Linked DNA regions of Oreochromis niloticus. The protein of the gene in region 1 purifies or fractionates together with the protein of each later gene. This does not show direct contact. Links are inferred from orthologs where the notes say so. Each region holds a gene or a part of one and is shown in the gene's direction. Other genes may lie near its edges.

Region 1 (3,754 bases):
AAACAGGCCTGGTAATCTCAACAATGAGCAGGCAGGGCAAGCAGAAATGTCAAACACAGCGGATACTCTGATCAGGGAAAGGAAATTAAGCAGCTGAGTATATATTCTGCCAGCTGGAGCAAAAGGCACAACTATGAGATATGACACTTTGGTGTCAAATCATTGTCAGACTCCTCTGGTCTGTTGATCGGTAACTGTCTCCAGAGAGCTAACATACAACCTACACACAGGCCTTTCAATAGTAGTCTCTAGACTGACATAACAGATCATTTCAGTGCTATAATGACAGCAACACAAGTAAGAATTTCATGTTTAATCGCAACAGCCTTCGTTACACATACACTCGCACACACCCCACCAGTTAATCCGTGTTTTCTCCTCCAGGATCTCCCGATTCCAAGGTCATCAAAGAAGCACAATCAGCAGCCTGTACGGTGGCTCACCTCACCGGCTCTTTACCACACACACAAGGCAAAACCTGACCCTTCAGCTGCCTGTTTATCGCGCTGATCGAGGCACCCGATATACATTTCATCAAGCTGTCTTGTCTTGAAATCCCTCTGTATAATCCACATGCTCCCCCCTCCCTCCACAAAAACGACAAAACAGCATGCACACACAGCCTGGTTTTCTCTTTGCCTAACATGAAGTTTGAATTTACCTTTATCGTTCACCTTTTGGGGACTCTGTAAATAAAGATATTTCTTGTTTGCCTCGTCTGGGTTTAGATATGACAAACGAGCTACCCTTGTGCCGAGGTAGTCAGCAGTTGCTTGAACAGCTGATTGACTGCGGCGCATGGACGCTGGCGCGTAGACTGCTGGGAGTTGTAGTTTCAAACGATAAAGTGGCCGGTCAGCAAAGGTGTCTGTCTTTCTGTCTGTCAGTCCCATTGAATTTAATGTAACTATGCTTTTTTAAACAGGCACATTATAGGAAAACAAACGAGCACAAAGGATAGAAAAACATTATGTTTAAAAAATATGTTCTCACGTTCAGAGATTGTCTTTTAAATATGTATAATCGCTTCTCACGCAGTCACATTATGGATAAGGTTTCCTCTCTGAGATTATTGGACTGTATTTGTCACATTATTGCATTTGTCGTGGTTCGCACTCGCGTACACGCATGTACGAACGGGAATAACTACATTCGCAGTGCGTACTAATAATGGCTATACACCTCTAATAGTCTTTCTTGGCAACTCTGGAGATGATTCAGAGCTTTTATTTGGGCATTCAGCGAAGAGATAAAGAAAGAAAGAGAGGGAGAGAGAGAGAGAGAGAGAGAGAGCGAGAGAGAGCGATATTGTGAAACTACATTTCCCATGCTCGCCTTTGCGGTGCTTGCTTTGTTTTGATTACGTAGATGCGCACAGACGTGGTGTCTTTGCGTTACCTCAGAGACAGCCTGTCAATGGAGTCAAACAGTCACGCCATACGAGGCCGTGGCAGATATAAAGAAGAATTTTGCCCGAAATAGCCCATCGAACGCATATAAGTGTTACGTAGACTGCGTTGGAGGAGGAGGAATAGTTTTTTGATTAAAAAAAAATACCGGTTTGTTTGCGGGTGTTGCACCGCATCTGGGCGAAGGCCTATGTAGCTTGTTAGCATTAGTTCAACAGCTAACTTGCTAGCAGGTGTTTTTTGTGTTTTTTTCTTCGTCGACTTTAGCTGCAACAAATTAACGAGAACTAAATTTCGAATGTTTTACCTGTAACGCAATTAATTTCCGCCAAGAAGACAGCTGAACCTTTTTGGCCTCTACAACAATGGCGGAACAGAACGCAGTTGGCATGCAGCAGAATTTGGACAGGTGAGTTCAAGTTTGGGGCTAGCATGCTAATGGCAGCCACATAGCTAAACTTAAAAACAAAATAGTCGTCAAGAGAAATTGGGGGACGGTATTGTCAGAATACCGTCCCCCAATTTGGGCTTTAAGTGAGACACTATAATTTTTTTTTAACAGGATACGAACTTTCAACTCAGCTCTGATTATCATTAAGTTTCCCTCGCCAGGGAATTTTTAGTTTACAAAGGAAGTCCTGGACTCCTAGCTCCTGCCAACGAATTAGTGGATATTGTGTTAAGTAATTCTATGGCCAGTTATTTTGTGTTTTCAAACTGGATACAATTCATAAGGCCATGGAGAAATGTCCAAATATTTGGCTTGTTAACTATTGACCCTTAGGCAGGACCCCGCGTCCAGTAAAATACCTGAAAATGTCACGTTCATAGTTGAGAACAAACCTGCTTATCTGTGTTACATCAGACCTGATTTAATTTCTGTGGCAGCTGAAACGTTCATTAATTTCTAAGAGAATCTTTTCGATTCTTTAGTAAGATGTCTGAACAAAGTTTGTTTTTGCGTACTTGTACAAAAGCGAAAATCAGATTCAGGGTGCTCCAAAATGCCTGTCGAGAAATGTTTGCGGTCAAGTAGAACAAAAGAAGAACACGTGAATGTAACTGAGGCGCAAGATCAGAACTCCACAAGTTCATATACTGTATACACTCATATATAAGAAGAGAATACAAAACGCTTACATCATGGGGAATAATTTTGTTGTACAATCAGCAAGTGTCAACAGACGCAAACGTAATTGGAAGCAGATGAGGAGCTGTTTCTGTAGCCAGCAACAAAGCAAGTCTGCTTAAACATATTTTCATCAATGCTTTATCACCATGTCATAGCTGGGATATTTCACAACAGAAAGAAGCAGCTCAGCCATGGTTTCTGTCAAGCAGCATTCTGGTCAAAAAGGGTCTCCTTTCACTTTCATCATGACAGGGAGTAGAAGTTTATCAACAGGCCGAACCTCAGTGGCGTTATGGAGTGTAAAGCCACATAATAGAAAGATTTTAGTTCACTTGAAGCTGTATGAGGTCTACACTTGATCAAAGGTACTTTTATTCTCTAGTATAGACACAGCTTCCCTATAGTTTGCCTTCAGATCCACACCTTGAAGGCATTTTCAATATTTGTGATCTGAACTCCTGCAGCGACAAGTTCAATTCCTTTTCAGAAAAGAATTACTTAGCTTGTGTTTGACTTTGTTTTTTTAAATCTCACTTTCAGCATTTCGAGTTGCTTTTAGTCATTGCTTATATAGGATGAAGAGAAACGATAACTTTACGTGGCAAAGTGTAATTCAGGATGCGATTCTTAAAACAGAAGTTAAACAATTTCCCTGTCAAAGCAGTTATACTTTTGCTTTGCAAATACCTACCATATTGTAGTTTAAGTAATGAGGCTAAAGCTTAACTCACCTAACAGGTTTATATACTGTAAGAGACATTTAATGAGACACAAAAGAAGTATAAGTTTTGCAGGTGTTTGGAGCATTGTGTTTGTTGCCGTGGGTTGATGTGATGTCATGTAGGTTTGGCTCCTGCTGCCAGATAAACTTTCTCATTTGCAGTGATTTCTTACATCACCAAGTTTGTAGTTAAAAGCCCCTGCATATGTACAATAGGGAAAACTCAGTTTTAGTTTACAGAATACAGTTTACTGACTTGGTGGCCTTTATTCGTACTGCACTCAATTCAACAATTCTAGTAAAAAGCGTCAATTTAATCAGCTGAACAAACCTGAGTGGGTACTGAGTGGGTATGATCTCACCTGCCCAGAAAGATCGGTCAACAACAGCACTTACTTTGTGATATGTTTTGAAATACAAAGTAATCCAAGTCAGAGATTTGGAGGAGTGTTTTGTTGGGGTTATAAATTGTCTGTGAAAAAGGCCAAGTCA
Region 2 (3,754 bases), on another chromosome or scaffold:
TGTGAGCAGACACTGTGGTGTCGAATCTATTGAAAAACAGATTCAACTCGTTAGCTCTATCCTCACCTCCCTCAGCTCCCCTGCTGTTGGTTGGCCTGAATCCAGTGATGGTCTTTGTTGAAAAGACTCACCTTTTAGCATATCCCCGCACACCCACTCACTTCACCAGGTGCACCTTGTTTAGTTCTCTCACCTTTAATTGGGTGTGGTGCTTGTCCTTAATTGCACTCACCTGTCACACAGTATATAAGGACTGCATTCACCTTTGGCTCACTCTTTCTTCACTCCCACACGGGGCGGCAGCAGAGCATTGGCAGTCCATGTGTGTCTTTCCTTCTTTGCTTTATTGAATTGAGAATAAAAGGAGAACCCTGTGAATGATTAGATGACTGCTTATTCTCATTCTGATCGGATGAGCCCATGATGCTGATTATTTAAACCCTGAGCCTTCCTTCCTTCACAACAGTCTTCATGCCCCTCCACACCTCTCTCATGCTGTTCTGCTGGAGTTTCCACTCCAGCTTCCTCCTGTAATTGTCCTTAGCCTCTCTGATCTTGTCCTTTAGTAACACCTGGACCTTCCTCACCTCCTCTTTATTGCCCCCTCTGAAAGCCCTCTTCTTGTTGTTGAGGAGGGCTTTGATGTCCTTAGTCACCCACGGCTTGTTATTTGGGTAACCTGAGTTGAGTTACTGTCTTATTTTCATTTTTCAAAGGTTTTTACCTTTGGTTTCGTTTTAAATTTGATTTTAGTTTAATTTGGTGTTCATAACAGGTTTGCCGGGTTTGGTTCTTATTGTTTTCAGTTTCACAGTTTTTTTGTTTTACTTTCACTTCACTTTCACTAAATGCTTAGAAGGTTTTTGCAGAAACGTGCAGAGAGTCTGTCTTTTAAAGACTCTAAACAATCGTATATAGATATCCCGGACAGGCGTTTACAGTAAAGGAGAGCTCCGGGTCGGACACATTCTTTGCTCATTGATTGGCTGTTTCCGGACAACCGTTTCGTCACTTATCTCCGCCCCCTGTCCTGAGAATGGAGCTGACGCTGGAGGGGGCTGCGTCAAGTGGAAGAACAGGAAGTCTAGACACTTAAAGTTTGAAAATAAAAGAAAGCTTCTAATTGAACGGTCAGGACATTGACCGCTAAAGCGGTTTAAGAGAGAAACAATATCGACTCGATATACACAGGTAAGGATGACACGTTTAAGTTCTAAAAACAATGGCAGCGGTAAAACAGGAAAACACACGTAGTTCAACAGTAAATAAACTAAAGCGACATCAGTTAGCAGCGGTCACATTTACAGAAGGGGCTTTGGAGTTGACGTCACGCCGCAATGCATTGTGGGAGCGCGGCACCATTTTCGGGGTCTACGAATCAAAACGAACTACGATTACAAGATGCTTAAAAGCAGCTCAAAAGAGAATGGACTGTATAGAGACCGATTGCGTCCAGAGGCGAAGCGGCGGTACTTGCAGAAAATCGCGTGCATTGGAAATGTGGACCGGTATGAAACACAGCGGTGGAGTAGAAACCCTGAAGACCAACCGCTACTGACGTAGCCTGACATATTTTCGTACCTTATCTGTGGAGTCAGCGCTACAACTCGTCATTCAAACAAAGGTAAGTCAGCTCGAGTACTGCGAGTGAAATGCGTTTGATTTCCCTGCAAACATTCAGATTAGTGCAGCATAAATTCATTCATGAGGGTGAAATTACAGTGAGAACATGTGGAGGCTGTTAGGTGAATAACATAGTGAGTTCAGTGCATTGATGTGACATTGTCCTGAAGGATTTAGTTATTCTCTATGGTTAAAGAAACTGCAATGATTTATTCATATTTATTATAAATAATTCTAATTATACATCTTGCTTCAATATTTGTATCTTGTGTCACTAAAAATACATCTTTAGTTTTATACATTGATTAATGACCTGCAGAATCTCCTTATCATATTAAGTGATTCATAATTGTCACTTTATGCTTTCTCCATCTCTAAAGTGATGACATCCTTGCATTACATGCTTTAGGTTCATTTTCTGCAGGCAGGTTTCTGACAGAGAACAGGCAGATTTACCCTATAAAATGCAGCGTTCTATAGATGGACACATAAAGAAATGAAAAATGACATGTATGTGCTAACTTTCTAAACACTGTTACATTTATGATAAAGTAGATAAAACACATTTATGTCGGCCTTGGCTCATAGTTCTTGTCTTTAAATTAACTTTGTCTGTGTGTGTTTCAGGTGCTGCACTCTCAAAGACTGAATGAACCAGCATTGCAGCCATGGGTCACTGTGAGCATCACAGGGAAGGTTGAAGCCGCCCACTGCACCCGTGTGGCCGGAGTCGTGGAGACCTGCACCCATGTCGCTGCTCTTCTGTTTAATGTAGAAGCAACAGTGCGGATCTGTGGCACAAGGACTGTTACAGATGAACCTGCATACTGGGTTTTGCCTGGTAATATGACCAAGATACAGCCAGAGGTTGGCCATAAGAGACTTCTCCTCTTCAGCTGCCCAAAAAAAGGCTCTTGATCAAAACATAAACAGACCATCCGTAATGAAAGGTAAAAGGAGCCGTCCTCAAAAAAGAAAAATCCCACCTGCTACTGTGGAGGAGTTGTCACTGCTATAATGCCATAATGTTTTATCTAGGGGTCTAAATTTATGCCTGTAGTGCACTGCCATGTAAATTATTTGCATTTACTGAATATGTACTGACTGAGTACCACTGTTCAAAAGTTGAATAAAGAAACAAACTAAGTTTTGCCTCTTTTTTTATTATTAAAACCACTTTATAGAACATCACATCAGTTACAATGTAGAATCCATGTCATTTATAGTTTATAAAAGACAAAATGTTTACACAAAATCATGACAGTGTTTACATGATATCACCCACTACTAACATTATTTACTGTATCTTTTGAAAAAAAAAATACCACTATTTATACAGCAAAAGACTTAAGAATATTTAACAGGAGCAAGTTTCATTTTCCCTGGTTTTACTATAACACTGTTCAACAAACGCAGCAAACCTTCACCATCTTATCCAGAAGGGTCACCTCTTCACCCTCACATGGAAGAAGTAATCTGATTGGCATGGTGGTATGTTTGAAGCAGGTCCCTTATGTAGCACTGGAACCCAGTCACGATGTGTTTCATCCATTTCATAGGCTGGTTTGCTGCAATAATGCCAAATAATTAGAAACTCTATAAAGAGAAGGTAGTTCTGCAGAATCACTCAGTAGGATGTTTGTTCTAATTTGCTATGACCTCAGAGCGCATCGAAAATAAAACTAATAGGCTATAAAGAGTGATATGAACATATTTAGAACTTACAGGTGTTGTGCCAAAGTAGTTACCCCCGTCAAAAATTGTTTCCCCATCCACGAGAGCGCGCAAAGTAGGAGGAGCCACTTGCCCAGCTCCGTTCTGTACGCTACTTGTCACTGATCTGCAGTCGACGCAATAAAGAGTAAAAGCTGGAAAACGGCAGGCTCGATTAATTTAATATTAGTTTCGTGACATTGTAATGTGCCGTGTGGAAGACAATTTACATTAAACTGTACACTGAAATAACCTGCTGGGAATACTTTGTCTAGAAAAATACTTTGATACTATAATACTGTAAAACCAGACGCGATCATGGAAACACGTCGCTCTCCGGTGAATTTACACTCGGTTTACACTTTGTAGCGAAGCTATCACGAAGCAGTTTATTTGCAAAATCAATCACAGTATAACC
Region 3 (3,754 bases), on another chromosome or scaffold:
GGAGTTTCTCCTGTGTGATGCTACATAAAATGTGTTTCTTTTATTTATTTATTTTTAGCAGTGTATAAAGAAATGAGGTAGCTCTAGACTTTTGCACTATACTGTACATATTTTAAATTTTCTATATGAGTGTATGTAACTTTTGTAAAAAACAATCAAGAGCCTCTTTGCTTTATCTGAGGACGGCGTTCAGGGCTTCTAACATTTCACAAAACAAAGGTTGCTCTACATTGTTCTTATAGTGCTGAGATTTTTCCATTACTTAGGGCAGGCCTATGTTGGAGTTCTAAAGAAGATTTCCATGAAGGATCTGCTGGTACTTCATGATCATACATCCTGTCAGATCTCCATGGTGATGATTCTGACACGTCTATCTCAGTGAACAACACATCTGGCATTTGTTGTAGGTGAATGTAGCTGTTCGCAGTAATGTGGAAATGGGTCTTGTTGATTGTTAAATTAAAGCACAACATTTGCAAGCTGGTTTGTTAAATACTGATAAAATACACTGTGTGTGAAGCTGTTGTAAAACCGGTCTAATGCTAAAAATGCCAAAATACAAGCTATTTTCAGATCATTCTGATAATGACAGTAACTATGGGTTTCTCTAGACTGTCTCTGGTTGATGTTATTTCTTTGTTTAAAATATGGGACTCATTCAAACTTACAGACTTTATGAAAAGAGCATAAAATACTGTAAGCACAAGTATTTTTGTTCATGGGTAGCGGCTCACATAGCAGTAAGCATCAGCTAAAAGCCACGCCCCTGCTACTTCCATACCTTGCCACCAGAGGCACAACAGCTATTCTCCAATCCAGCAGGTGGCGGTATTCCACCTTAGAGCTGTTTGCCATTGACACTAAAGAGGAGAGCGGGTCGCGCAGATAGTAAACGGAGTAGTCGACACAATGCTGAAACGAAGTGTGCGCTGAGAAAATATATAAAGAACAACCTTTAAAGTATACTGTTTGACGTCTTTGGGGTTTACTAGAAACCAACGCGGTCAAAGTCAAACTCGGTACTTTAAGGTCCTTGGAACACGCAGAGACGCCCGCTGCAGCAGCAGCTAACTTGAGTTATCAGTATAAGGTACAGGTGTGTGGGCTCGTGGGTAGCTCGGTGACTTGTAGAGCATTCAGAAGCCTCGGGGGCACAATGCAAGAGGACTGTTTGTGAAGAACGACTCCATCCACGGTAAGGCACACCCACGGCTCTGACTTAGCAAGCTGTTAGTGAAGCTAGCCTTAGCTCCTGATCGAAGTTGGTTGACAGGTCAACTAGTTCGTAATTTATCCTTGAGCTGCTACTCCAAACTGTTACCAGGACTCTGTGTCATGGTCAAGAACAAAGATGGAGGGACATCTGAGAAACAGAAGCTTAAGCAGAGCTTGTCCAGCCGGAGTACTTGATGACATGTAGATTAGCTTGCACAAAGATGATGAAAGCCTCAGTGTTAAAAGAGCTTGGCGCAACGTGCCGAGTATTTTTCTTTTATTTGTGTTTATATTAAAAGCAGCATTAAGAGATTGATGGCACTGCTGCAATATTATCTTCAGCACTGTGTGAAAGGTCGCAGGGGCGGTGACAGAGCGGAACCAGCATGTTTAGCTGGTTTTGACTCTGCGTGGATGAGTTGAAGATCGACTCGTGATATTCTTTTCAAATGTAATGAAGCTTTCATAGATCTGCAGTGCCATCTTTGTCAGTATTCTCATAAACCTGCACTCATGTAGCGGAGGTGCTACATGAGTGCTAAAAATGATCAGTGTAGTTTTCCAAAGCTGTGCGGGAAGTCGTCATCAGTCGTTTTAGCCCGTTGCTCTCTGTGTACTCTTTCCACACTGGCAGAAACGACTTGACATCAGGCTCATGTTTTCCTAATAGCAGGTATCAGCAATAAGAAGCAGTTATTACCCAGATATTACACGGAGCCTGATTCATTTAAAAGAAACTTGCTTAGTGTTGATTTACCAGCACTTTGTGGTTCGAGGCTTATACTTTATATGTCACATGTTTGGGAAGTTATTTTGTTACAGGTTGTAGTATTATAGTATTATACCCTGTATCAAGTTCTCAAAAGAGAAGAGTATTCAGATATGAATACTAAATTTTATATTGAATTTAGATACTGATTTGCAACAGTATCCACAAACTGTGCCATCTTTGCCTCCTCCAGCTGACACAAACCCGCTGCTCCTCCTCACTAGTGGCTGCAGTAGTTAACCTTCATCACACTAAACCAATACTTCAGGTTGATGTTCAGAAGTCAGTATTAAACAGTTATCATAACTGTTAACCTGGCTTACTGCACCCATTAACATTAACCCTTTTACTATTAGTATTTTACCTTAAGGCCACTGAGCAATTCATGTAACAACTATTCAATTCAATTCAATTCAGTTTTATTTATATAGCGCCAAATCACAACAAAAGTTGCCTCAAGGCGCTTCATAGGTACAGAGAAAAACCCAACAATCATATGACCCAGTCTGAGCAAGCACTTTGGCGACAGTGGGAAGGAAAAACTCCCTTTTAACAGGAAGAAACCTCCGGCAGAATCAGGCTCAGGGAGGGGTGGGGCCATCTGCTGCGACCGGTTGGGGTGAGAGAAGGAAAACAGGATAAAGACATGCTGTGGAAGAGAGACAGAGATTAATAACAGATATGATTCAATGCAGAGAGGTCTATTAACACATACTGAGTGAGAAAGGTGACTGGAAAGGAAAAACTCAATGCATCATGGGACTAGTGGACTGTAGTTAGATAAAGGATGAATAATTGGTGCTGGCTGAATCGGCTGTAGATGGAATATTGAGCCGTGACAGAATGGATTAGGTATACGTGGAGTCCCAGGTGGGTTGCTGGCTGTCCAGAGCAACTGGGGAAGTGTAACTGAACTGAGCAGGGAGTCCAGAGTGTAGAGAACTAGTGGGAGCGATAAAGAGTGAAATCAGTGCAGAGCAGAAGAATTAGATGAGCTGAGGGGGAATGAGCTGTAGACTGAGGAGGGTCAGCATGGATGGTGGATGAGAGAGAAGCTGCAGGGGACAAGATGAAAATCTTTAAGTTTTCTACTTTTACAATATTGTTTTCAAATTTGTTTCTGATTTAGATATAGCAGTTGTGAGGTCAGTGACTGCTACAGTCTTTCACAGTGAGCACTCTTTTTAAAAAAAACAAAAAAACAAAAACTTTTTTATTTTAACTTATTATTATTTGTACTACACTTCATCCAAAGTTCATTTGTAACTTTTCTATAATACATTTTTAGATGTTAGATATTTTGTTGTTTGTTTATTTTATTTTTTTGTTCACTTGTTTATTTAGGTTCTTTAAGTTCTAAAATCACAGAGCCAGCCTTCCTAGTAAGTTTATTCAGTGTGTTACTTTTACCAGCTCTGATGCTGCTGCCCCAGCAGACCACAGCAAAGAAAAAGTACAGTAAGCTTACCACAACTGACTGACAGATAATCTCCATCATATTGCTGCCCATGTTGAAGGATATCAGCTTCCTTAGCAAATAGAGCCTTCTCATTCCGTTCTTGTTTTCATGCTTTGTGCTGGTCATGCACTTCACCCTGTAGTGGATGTGGACGCCCAAGTACTTGTAGTCCTTGTCCCAGGATAGACACGGACTGTGTAGCCGTCCTCTTCCTTCTGAGGATGACCATTTAATTTGGTCTTTTTCACATTTAGGAGCCATTAGTCTGAGAGAGGGAAACAAGGCTGTGCTTAAAAACACACAGAGAGCAG

Evidence for each region. The genes of interacting proteins can lie anywhere in the genome.
Region 2: the proteins of marchf5 (region 1) and mfn1b purify together in Homo sapiens (affinity purification with western blotting; 4 studies listed by BioGRID, with this or other methods). This does not show direct contact. The link is inferred for Oreochromis niloticus from reciprocal best matches to the Homo sapiens genes MARCHF5 and MFN1.
Region 3: the proteins of marchf5 (region 1) and mfn2 purify together in Homo sapiens (affinity purification with mass spectrometry; 5 studies listed by BioGRID and IntAct, counting the BioPlex papers as one, with this or other methods). This does not show direct contact. The link is inferred for Oreochromis niloticus from reciprocal best matches to the Homo sapiens genes MARCHF5 and MFN2.

What each region holds. Positions count from the first base shown.
Region 1 is NC_031978.2:26,274,859-26,278,612, reverse strand, and holds the start of marchf5 (E3 ubiquitin-protein ligase MARCHF5), read left to right. Parts: upstream 1-1,375; 5' UTR 1,376-1,774; coding exon 1,775-1,818; intron 1,819-3,754. UniProt on the Homo sapiens protein: Mitochondrial E3 ubiquitin-protein ligase that plays a crucial role in the control of mitochondrial morphology by acting as a positive regulator of mitochondrial fission and as an important regulator of immune response.
Region 2 is NC_031986.2:45,570,694-45,574,447, reverse strand, and holds the start of mfn1b (mitofusin-1b), read left to right. Parts: upstream 1-1,047; 5' UTR 1,048-1,191; intron 1,192-3,754. UniProt on the Homo sapiens protein: Mitochondrial outer membrane GTPase that mediates mitochondrial clustering and fusion. Membrane clustering requires GTPase activity. It may involve a major rearrangement of the coiled coil domains.
Region 3 is NC_031984.2:35,410,750-35,414,503, reverse strand, and holds the start of mfn2 (mitofusin-2), read left to right. Parts: upstream 1-831; 5' UTR 832-1,195; intron 1,196-3,754. UniProt on the Homo sapiens protein: Mitochondrial outer membrane GTPase that mediates mitochondrial clustering and fusion. Mitochondria are highly dynamic organelles, and their morphology is determined by the equilibrium between mitochondrial fusion and fission events.